Kluyveromyces lactis: one gene and its partners. The protein of the gene in region 1 purifies or fractionates together with the protein of each later gene. This does not show direct contact. Links are inferred from orthologs where the notes say so. Each region holds a gene or a part of one and is shown in the gene's direction. Other genes may lie near its edges.

Region 1 (3,614 bases):
AGCGATAAGAAGACGAAACACAAGACCGGTGTGGTTTACCTATCGAGGGTTCCACCGTACATGAAACCAGCCAAGCTAAGGCAGATTCTCACAAGATTCGGTGAAGTGGACCGTCTGTTCTTGAAACGTGAAGAGGAGCACAAGCACCAGCAGCGTGTCAAGAGTGGTGGGAACAAGAAAACGATGTTTGAAGAAGGTTGGGCCGAGTTTATCAGAAAGAAGGACGCTAAACTGTGCGCATCGACTCTAAACGGTAATATTATCGGTGGTAAGAAGGGAAATTTCTACCATGACGACGTCATGAACGTTAAATACTTGCCCGGGTTCAAATGGGCCGATTTGACAGAACAAATCGCTAGAGAAAACGATATCAGACAAGCAAAGCTACAATTGGAAATCTCACAGGCCAACAAGTTGAACGCAGAGTTCATCCATAACGTAGAGAAATCAAAGATGGTCAACAAGATGAAACAGAGCAAGAAACGTAACCAACAAGAATCACAGCAGGTCGATGAAGAAGTTCGCAGGACTTTCAAACAGAGGAAAGTCGCTTCGACAAGAGCATCTGCTCCAGATTCTCAGAGACAATCCCAACCGCAATCGAAAGCACTCAACGATGTCATGCATAGTTTATTCTAAGATGACTATATAACACATATATAAAGCATATAGCCAAGCCAAAAGCCCTACAGAGAGTACAACTCATCGCCTGCCATTCCCATGGTCAAAGATCAGGTTTCTTTTTCATTCCCATAGTGTAAGAAAAAGTGAAAAGAAAAAATTTTCCAGCTCATCTCATCTCATCTCATGAATTGGAACAGGAACAAAGGCAGGTTCATCAGTGGTTTGTTTCGATTCAGGTTGATCTCAGTCCAGGCAAGAGACATTCAGTTACTTATTCTTCCATCTGTTTGAGTTTTCGATCGAAATTGAACGTGTTCGTTACCACAAAGAACGAACAAACGAACGAACCAAAGGAAACCTAATTGAAATCTATACCAAGGCACAATGGGTACCGGTAAGAAGGAAAAGCAAAGGAGAATCCGCGAAGGTAATACCAAGGATGGTAACCTTCGTGTGAAGGGTGAGAATTTCTACAGGGACACCAAGAGAGTGCAGTTTTTGAACATGTACAAAGGTGGTAGATCTGTTCGTAATGCAAAGGGTGACATTATCAAGGCTGCTCCGTTGCAGGATACTGCTGCTCCAACAGCAAGAGTGGCTCCTGACCGTAGATGGTTTGGTAATACCAGAGTTATTTCTCAGGATTCATTGAGCCATTTCAGAGAAGCTTTGGGCGAGAACAAGCGTGATTCTTATCAGGTGCTATTGAGAAGAAATAAACTTCCGATGTCGTTGTTGAACGAAAAGGATTCCGCTGAATCTCCAACGGCAAAGATTTTGGAGACAGAGCCCTTTGAACAAACTTTTGGGCCTAAGGCTCAGAGGAAGAAACCAAGAATCGCTGCGTCGTCGTTGGAAGAGTTGATTTCAAGTACTTCTACCGATAATAAGACTTTTGAAGAAAAGCAAGAATTGGATTCTACTCTGGGGCTTATGGGTAAGCAAGAGGAAGAAGACGGTTGGACGCAGGCAGCAAAGGAAGCCATTTTCCACAAAGGTCAGTCGAAACGTATTTGGAACGAATTGTACAAGGTTATCGATTCCTCCGATGTCGTCATCCACGTATTGGATGCTAGAGATCCTTTGGGGACTCGTTGTAAATCGGTGACTGATTACATGACCAATGAGACTCCTCATAAACATTTGATATACGTCTTGAACAAGTGTGATCTTGTTCCTACATGGGTTGCCGTATGTTTTAAACTTTCTTTTTAATCTTCAGTGATTACTACTAACCGATTATACTTTCTAACTGGGAGTGAATACCACAGTATCTTGAGAATACCAAAATTCTTTGTCAGGGTGTTTCTGCGTACATTCTAGTACAACTTACACATACAGAAGGGCCTGTTACAGTTTTGGAAGAGCAATACTACCCACCCTCGATCTATCCATCGTTTTGATGGAGTCATGGTTGAAACCTAGTTGAACAATCTTCGTTTTGAGGATATATCAGCGCTTTTATTTCGGGTACGGAGGAACTTAAGAGTTGAGCTTTGGATCTGAAAAGAATTATTATGCCATGGCTCGTAGTAAAGAACCTCACATCACCACTAATATACTCAATACAGCATGGAGTCAACCCCCAGTAGAAAGCATAATTGGTTATTGATTCACATATGTGATTACAATTTTACTAACACGATTTTCCCTATTTTTGATTCTCAACAGGCAGCATGGGTAAAACATCTATCGAAGGAACGTCCCACATTGGCATTCCATGCCTCTATTACCAATTCATTTGGTAAGGGTTCGTTAATTCAACTTCTACGTCAATTCTCACAACTGCATAAGGACAGACATCAAATCTCTGTTGGGTTCATTGGATATCCAAACACCGGTAAATCCTCAATCATCAACACTCTAAGGAAAAAGAAGGTCTGTCAAGTGGCACCTATTCCTGGTGAAACTAAGGTGTGGCAATACATAACTTTGATGAAGAGAATCTTTTTAATCGATTGTCCCGGTATTGTACCGCCATCCAGCAAGGACAGTGAAGAGGATATTCTATTCAGAGGTGTGGTAAGAGTTGAACACGTTTCGCATCCTGAACAATACATTCCAGGTATTCTAAAACGTTGTAAGAGACAACATTTGGAAAGAACCTATGAGATCTCCGGATGGAAAGACTCTGTAGATTTCATCGAAATGATTGCAAGAAAGCAAGGTAGACTATTGAAAGGTGGTGAACCAGATGAAAGCGGGGTATCGAAACAAATCTTGAACGATTTCAACAGAGGTAAGATCCCATGGTTCGTACCACCACCAGAGAAGGACAAGATTGAGGAAAAGGAACCTGGTGATAAGAAACGTCCTGCAGAGGAAAATCAAGAAGATCAAGAAGAGGAAGAGAAGGAGCAAGAGGAACAAGAAGAACCTGTTTCTAAAAAGGCCAAAAAGGAATAAACCAAACACTTCCTCAATATTTAATTCTCTCCAGACACGGGCATCGCTTTATATATAGACACACCATATACAATCTTATCGGATCTATCGTTTTTGTACATTAATATCAATCGGATGACTTAGGCTAAGTCTTGCACATAGAAATTTATTAAATAAATAGTAGAAAGGCTGGATAACACCGAACGTTGTGAAGCATGCAGATCAGGGGCAGAAACACTGGACAATGGACCCATTCGGGTCCACTGTCCATTGAGAAGTGGTGCCAGTGGTAATATCAACACCGTACACAATGACATTTCCCTCGAAAATTCTGTTTCTGCCAAAGAGGAACGAAACAGGAAAGCCTTTAGCATTAGATAAGGAAGAGACAGAGACATATATGGTTGGAATACGATTCAATTCTGATTTAAGAGTTGTCATTTAGGACTACTCCAGTAAGTACGATAGAATTTTAATGCAATCTCTTAATAGTCAGCTCGGAGGATTGCCAAATTCGGAGCAATTTTTCGGGAAGGGCGCTGTTCAGCAGCAAGGGCCAGTTGGGATGAACGGGATGCTTTTCTCCCCTTCTATGAATAGTACTC
Region 2 (3,757 bases), on another chromosome or scaffold:
TTTCCTTTGAAGGTGGTACCGACATACTGTCGGTTCCATAATTTTTGTCACATCAAATTTAGTTTCACATCTATAGCATTCCACATAATCTGATTCTGATTCATTGATCGGATCAGTGTCATACATCTTGACAAAAAATCCGTTCCTACTGAGTGTTTCCTCGTCGAGTAGCAAAGATCGTAGTTTTTGCAATACGTGGGACCTTTGTATTAATGACGAACTATTATTCTTAGGTTTGCCAGTTTTATCAAGATTACCCTTATATTTAACAATATCTCGTAATAGAATGGAAGCATTGAACGCGTAACTTTGTCTTGTTTTTGCTATTTTAGCAACCTCATGTTCCCAAATAGTCGATGCCTTTATAATGTGAGGGCTGCTCGATTGAAACCTCTTTAACTGTGTGTATATCTTTTGGACAACTCTAACTCTGTCTTGATACGGAGCAGGTTGCATTTTCATGTCAACCGGACGTAAAACTGGATTACCGACCATAATTATTGCATACAGAGGAATGTATCGGAAGACAATGGAGTTCAGATGGATTGTAAACTTTAGGCTTGCTGTTAATGGCTCTCTCAAAGCATTCTTTTCTCTTACCCATCCATTTTTCTTTTGCCGATGAGATGGATTGCAGGTATATCTTTCTTTCACTGAAATATTTATTTCTTTTTGGTGTTTTTCTGTGCTCTGAGAATTTTTTAAACAAAAGCGATGAGATGAGATGAGATGAGATGACTTTAAACAAACTGCCAAATTGAGTGTAGGATACATTTAACTGCAGATCCGCTATAGACTTAGCAAAGTAAGGCATATCACTTCTTTCACAGAGTATCAAAACATCGAAACGGATATTTTCTATTCTGCCTCTGTTTATTGACTAGGAAAGAAAGAAGAATTGCTTATAAGAGGGGCGAAGGATTGAATTACTATAGCCATGTCCTCTGCATTAATTTATTTAGATGTTACTGCGGCCGAGGAAAACTTCACTATATACCAGAAGGCTTTTACTCAGCAGCACTTGTCTGACTATTATAGATTTGATGCCAAGCTTTCAACCGATGAGAACTTGTCGAATTTAGCATTTTCCTCGTTAAAAGAAGATTTAACGATTCCTCATTTATACATTTACAAGAATATATTCTTGGACTGTTGCTCTAGATGGATTTTGCAACACGACTCCAAGAAGTTTGTCACGGTATTACACGCATTGGGCAGAATTGCAAGTTTATATCCGGAAGCTTCGCAATTGATCGAAGTGTTCTTGCTCAGAAATGGTGACTACTTTAACGCATTGTTACAAACTTACCAAGCTCATGATCCAAAGGACATCGAGTTGATCCTTTTGGCTTATTATCGATTGATTCAGTATGACAAGATCAGATTTGAGAGATATATCAATGCTCAAACTCTTAATTCACTTTTGGCACACCAATCTACAATCATCAAATTTTTGTCATTAAAAGTTCTTAATATGCTTATTGAAATGGCAGAGCACGCCTGTGAACTTGTGGTCCAAAATCAACTTAAACTGTCAACTGAACCTATCTTAAGTGTATTTGAAGGTGCTTCCGATGTAGATTATCAATTTTTGGAACTTACTGAAGCTAAAAGGCTCTCAAATTACCATAGTCTACCAAATGAAATCAATGAACTTGTTTCTTATCCAAAGAACTTCAGACCAACTGGAAAATCGTTCAACATCGATATCAATGAACTTTCGTCGTTGATTGTTGAAGTATGTGGTGTATTTATTGCCAGAATCTCCGAAGCACCTTCTAATGAAGAACATCTAAAGTCAGATCTAGTATATACGGATGGTGCCAAGTTGGCCTTACAAAAATTGGCCGAAGGTATTCAGCGCAACAAGCCTGTAATGCTTGTGGGTAAGGCTGGATCAGGTAAAACATTTTTGATCAATGAGCTTTCAAAAAAAATGAACTGCGATAGTTCTGTTGTCAAAATTCATTTAGGTGAACAAACTGATGCTAAACTACTTTTGGGTACATATACATCAGGTGAAAAACCCGGTTCTTTTGAATGGAGATCCGGTGTTCTCACAACAGCAGTTAAAGAGGGACGATGGGTACTTATCGAGGATATCAACAAAGCGCCAACCGAAGTCTTGTCTGTTCTTCTTACCCTTCTTGAAAAAAGAGAAATATCCATTCCATCTAGAGGTGAAGTCATCAAAGCTGCCAACGGTTTCCAGTTATTAGCAACAATAAGACTAGACGAGCACACCTCCCATGGTGGCATTACGCATGAGTCTGACCTGATTGGTATGAGATTATGGGAGAAAATCCTTGTAGATGAGCCGTCTGAAGACGATTTGAAGCTTATTCTACAAAAAAGGTTTTCTTTGTTAACTGCCTTAATACCGAAACTTATCAGCACCTACAAATCTGTGAAAGATATTTACAGAAATCCACAATTTGTTTCATTGAACAAAGGTGTTCAACCAAGAATCATTAGTGTTCGAGATTTAGTTAAACTAAGTCAGAGAATCACCGAACTTTTTGAAGCTAATCAAGTTGTTAAACCGGATCAACTTATCGAGTCGTCTATCTATGATGATATTTTTGCTGAAGCTGTCGATTGTTTTGTTGGTTCGATTAGTGAATATGGAGCCGTACAGCCCTTAGTACAGAAAATTGGAGAAGAGCTTGAAGTTTCAGTTTCCAGAATCACGTTGTTCTTGAACAAGCATGTACCGGCAATCGAAAAAGCTGGTGATGATGTGAAAATTGGAAGAGCTCACCTAAGAAGACCCAAGTCAACTATTCATAAAAAAAGTGCCAACACTACATCGTTTGCGTTTACCAATCATTCTCTTCGTTTAATGGAACAAATTGGTGTTGCCGTCAAAATGTGTGAACCAACATTATTAGTCGGTGAGACCGGTACTGGTAAAACTACTGTAGTTCAAGAGTTAGCAAAGCTAATGAATAAGAATTTGACGGTTATTAACGTTTCCCAGCAGACTGAGAGCGGTGATCTATTAGGTGGTTACAAGCCTGTGAATTGTAGGACTGTCGCAATTCCAATTCTAGAAGATTTTGAGGGGCTTTTCCTTGCTACATTCTCTTTGAAGAAGAACGAGAAGTTCTATAAACTCCTCCATAAGTGCTTCTCCAAGGGGCAATGGAAGAACGTCGCTAAACTTTGGAAAGAAGCTATTAAAATGGCTGATAGCATTCTAAAAAAGGACTCAAATGAGAAAGAGGAAGCTGACAAGAAAAAAAAGCGTAAACTCGACCCTGAGAGTAAACAAGCTTTATTGGAAAAATGGAAGGAATTCAGACAAACAGTTGAATCATTTGAATTACAATCCTCTACTTTGGAAAACTCGTTTGTGTTTAATTTTGTGGAAGGTTCTTTGGTGAAGGCTGTCAGAAATGGAGAATGGTTGTTATTGGATGAAGTCAACTTGGCCTCGGCAGACACGCTTGAAAACATAGCTGATTTGCTTTCAGAAAGTGACTCTAGAAGTATACTTCTATCTGAAAAAGGTGAGGCAGAATCGATAAAAGCCCATCCAGATTTCAGAATTTTCGCTTGTATGAACCCTGCTACAGATGTCGGTAAGAGAGATTTACCACCAGGTATTCGATCAAGATTTACCGAAGTTTATGTTCATTCTCCTGACCGTGACATCTCTGATCTATTGTCTATCATTGACAAGTACATTTCAAAGTATAGCGTAAGCGACGAATGGGTTGGTAACGACATCGCTGAACTTTATTTAGAAGCAAAA
Region 3 (3,746 bases), on another chromosome or scaffold:
GAAGCTTCCAAATTGAAAGAACGTATTTGGATTGATATCAACGGTGATTACTTGATTGAACAAGAATCAAAAAGACTCAAACAGGAAGCAGATTTGGCCAGTGGGAATACTTCGCTACGAAAAAAACGCAGCAAACGTACTAATAGAAACCAATCCAGTGCAAGCATCGTCAAAGTTCAAGTCGACGGACTACCGCTTGATGTTTCCGTGGATGACGCTGATGCTGTAGATGTTGTCGCAGCTGGAGGTGTCAAGAATCTATTACAAAAGACGACTTTCTCAAAGAAGATCAATTACGATGCTATTAACGGTCTCTTTGGACAAAAATAGTTTCTACGTCGTCACTGTTTCTCTTCTCTTGTACGATATCCATCAGATCAAACTCAAGAAAATTATATGAATACCAACTGCTATTTACATATCGTTACTTGATACAGATGTCTGTTTTTGCTCTTTTTTATTTTAATATTTTACACTAAATTGGTGTATCAATTTCATTTCGATTATATTTTTGGAACTATATTTAAACGGCGTACATAATTTATAAACATTGCAAACAAATATTCGTTTGGTGTGGACTATTATTCATTTATGGAACACAATAATAAGCTACCATCAGTATACCATTTTGCCTATTCAGATATTAAAGAGCCTTAAACCCACTTTTTGCCTCTGGTTTCTTCTTTCCGTACCGTGAGTGAAAAGAAATTTTTTAGAAGGAAGAAAATTTTGAGATGAGATGCGATGAGATAGAACCTATGTATGAACAAAGTATATCACTCCGAGACAACTAAAGTTGCCTAACACTATTCGAACTTGTGCAAATCAACTAAGTATTTCCGAACAGTGAAAAGGAATCACATAATCAAATAAGAAACAAATATGGTTAGGAGATCTCGTGCTGCTATTCTACCGACAAACATTATTCTCTTGCAGAACCTTGTTAAGCGTGATCCTGAATCCTATCGTGAAGAGTTTCTACAGCAATATGCTCACTACCAATCATTAAGAGACATTTTCATGTTAAATTCGGTCAACAACGAGAGCACTGATGAAAGTGCAATGGCTGAGTTTATGGGAGCAATTGGATTTGTATCTCAAGTTTGTTCCTGTTATCCTCGTGAAACGGCAAACTTCCCAAACGAATTGAAACAGTTAGTATTAGATCACCACAAATCGCTTCCGTTTGACGTGAAAGAAAAGATTATCACCAGTCTAACTATGTTGAGAAATAAGAACGTTATCAGCCCTGAGACTTTGATTCAAACTATGTTCCCATTGCTTATTGCATACTCTTCCCCTAGTAATTCGATGGTCCAGAATTCTCACGCCAAAGAGCTAAGAACTTTAATCTACAACACTCTAGTACAGTTGATGAAATCTTGTAACACCAGTGGTAAGAACCAAAAATTAAACAAATCTACCCATGCGTTGTGTTTCAATTTGTTGGAACAGCCAGATTCTCAAGGTATATGGGCATCGAAATTGACAAGAGAGTTATGGAGAAGAGGTATCTGGGACGATTCAAGATCGGTTGAAATTATGACCCATGCTGCACTACATAACGATGTTAAAATTGCATACAGTGGTGTCTTGTTCTTTTTGGATGCTGATAAAGAGCGTGAAGAAGCGTTTGAAGAAAACGACGATGAGGATGAAATCGATACTACCGCTTTGAAGCACAAGCTCCAGATCAACAAGAAATCTAGTAAAAGAGGTAAGAAGCTAGAGCAAGCACTTAAGGTCGTAAAGAAGAAATCTGCTAAAGGTGTTCAACAGAATAATTTCTTAAATTTCAGTGCCATCCATCTATTACGTGATCCACAAGGGTTTGCCGAGAAATTGTTTGAAAGACATCTAAGTGGTAAGAATTCGAACAAATTTGATTTCGAACAAAAGACTGCCATCATGCAATTATTATCCCGTTTAACAGGTACACACAAGTTAATGGTTCTTGGACTATATTCATACTTCTTAAAATACCTGACGCCAAAGCAAAGGGACGTTACCAAGATTCTATCTGCTGCAGCCCAATCCTGTCATGATCTTGTTCCTCCAGAGACCATTGAAGTGATGGTGAGGAAGATAGCCAACGAGTTTGTTAGCGACGGTGTTTCAAATGAGGTTGCCACTGTGGGTTTGAATACAGTCAGAGAAATCTTGACTCGTGCCCCATTAGCTATCGATGAGACTTTACTACAAGATTTAACCGAATATAAGGGCTCCAAGGCCAAGAGTGTCGCCATTGCTGCTAAGGGTTTGATTGCATTATACAGAGAAGTTGCTCCGGAGATGTTAAAGAAGAAAGATCGTGGTAAGACCGCTTCTATGGGACTACAGGACGACAAACGCAATGGCAGGGAATCCAAACGTGTCAAGTTTGGTGTCGAGACTACTAATGTACAAGGTATAGATGGTATTGAGTTACTAGCGAAGTGGAAGCGTGAGAACGGAAACGAGGAGGATGATGATGATGAGGCTGCATGGGATTTGAACAACCGGGATGAATTATCAGATGCTTCGGATGTAGAAGGTGAGTGGGTGACGATAGAAAGCGATAAAGAGTACGAAGTTGACATGGACTCTGACGATGAGGAAAGCAAGAACAAAACAGGTCATAAGGGTAAGAAACGTTCCCACGATGAAGTCGAACCGGAAGCTGGTGAAGATAGTGATTTAGAATTATCCGGTGATGAAGAAGAACCAAAGGTGGGAGAAGAGCAGAAGGAAGAAAGTGAATCCGCTGACCCAGAAGAAGCTTTCCGTGAATTAGCATCCAGTCGTATCTTAACACCAGCCGATTTCGCTAAACTTCAAGAACTACGTACTGAAAAGGGTGTTACTAAACTTATGGGGATCAACAACGAAGAAACTATTGAGCATTACAAGCTTATGGGTCCAGCCAAGCACAAGAAACAGAACAAAGAGGAAAGAATGGCATCTATTATGGAAGGTCGTGAAGACCGTGAAAAATACGGAAGTAAGCGTGGTAAGCGTGACAGTTCAATGAGATCAACTACAAATAAAGAGAAATCTAGAAAGAAGAACTTTGTGATGATGATCCATAAGAGATCTGTGAAGGGTAAGCAAAAAATGTCGCTTCGTGACAAACAAAAGGTCTTGCGTGCTCATATCACGAAGCAAAAGAAGAAAGGTAATTAAACTAGATGGCATGGCAAAAGTAGTTATATTAATTATAGGCACTTGTAGACACAGCATATAAAAGATAGAAAAAAAAGACACGTCAGTGTCACGTGACCAACTCATTTTCTCCATTTAGCCCAGTTTTGAAGTTGTCCTTTCAGCCAATGTGATATCACCATCCGAGACCACTTGTCTGCTGCTCATATCCCAGGTCAAAAAGGACTATTAACACGGCTTAACGGTGTGCCAACGGTTTTGGACCGAGAAGGACATGATCTAACAGGGAAAAAAAAAACTCGAAAAGAAAAAGAGACCACTACAGGATGTTTGAGGAACTTCAGCTTGAATGGAAATCTCGACACTATCAGCTATATTCATGCGTCGGCATTAAGCCTTCTTCGCATCACGGGCTGTGGCCCGTGATGCTGGCCCGCACTAAATGGGGCCGGGAAGGCATATGTTCCAACGCGTTACTCTCGAGGGAACGATTTACTACTGCCTAGACTAGCTCGTCTCAGTATTATTCAATGTAGTGCAGCAGCATTCACCTGGGGTGATGTCTTTACAATAAAACCTATACAGTACAACAAGAGCCGACTTTA

Evidence for each region.
Region 2: the proteins of NOG2 (region 1) and REA1 purify together in Saccharomyces cerevisiae (affinity purification with mass spectrometry, with the first as the bait; 7 studies listed by BioGRID). This does not show direct contact. The link is inferred for Kluyveromyces lactis from reciprocal best matches to the Saccharomyces cerevisiae genes NOG2 and REA1.
Region 3: the proteins of NOG2 (region 1) and SDA1 purify together in Saccharomyces cerevisiae (affinity purification with mass spectrometry; 9 studies listed by BioGRID, with this or other methods). This does not show direct contact. The link is inferred for Kluyveromyces lactis from reciprocal best matches to the Saccharomyces cerevisiae genes NOG2 and SDA1.

What each region holds. Positions count from the first base shown.
Region 1 is NC_006039.1:1,670,861-1,674,474, reverse strand, and holds NOG2 (putative GTPase NOG2), read left to right. Parts: upstream 1-1,008; coding exon 1,009-1,815; intron 1,816-2,295; coding exon 2,296-3,030; downstream 3,031-3,614. Other genes in the region: RNA-binding ATPase activator ESF2, read left to right, coding at 1-639; CCR4-NOT core DEDD family RNase subunit POP2, read left to right, coding at 3,485-3,614. UniProt on the Saccharomyces cerevisiae protein: GTPase that associates with pre-60S ribosomal subunits in the nucleolus and is required for their nuclear export and maturation.
Region 2 is NC_006042.1:1,851,610-1,855,366, reverse strand, and holds the start of REA1 (AAA family ATPase midasin), read left to right. Parts: upstream 1-937; coding exon 938-3,757. Other genes in the region: REX3 (RNA exonuclease), read right to left, coding at 1-774. UniProt on the Saccharomyces cerevisiae protein: Nuclear chaperone required for maturation and nuclear export of pre-60S ribosome subunits.
Region 3 is NC_006037.1:499,215-502,960, forward strand, and holds SDA1 (Sda1p), read left to right. Parts: upstream 1-882; coding exon 883-3,162; downstream 3,163-3,746. Other genes in the region: transcription factor TFIIIB subunit BRF1, read left to right, coding at 1-330.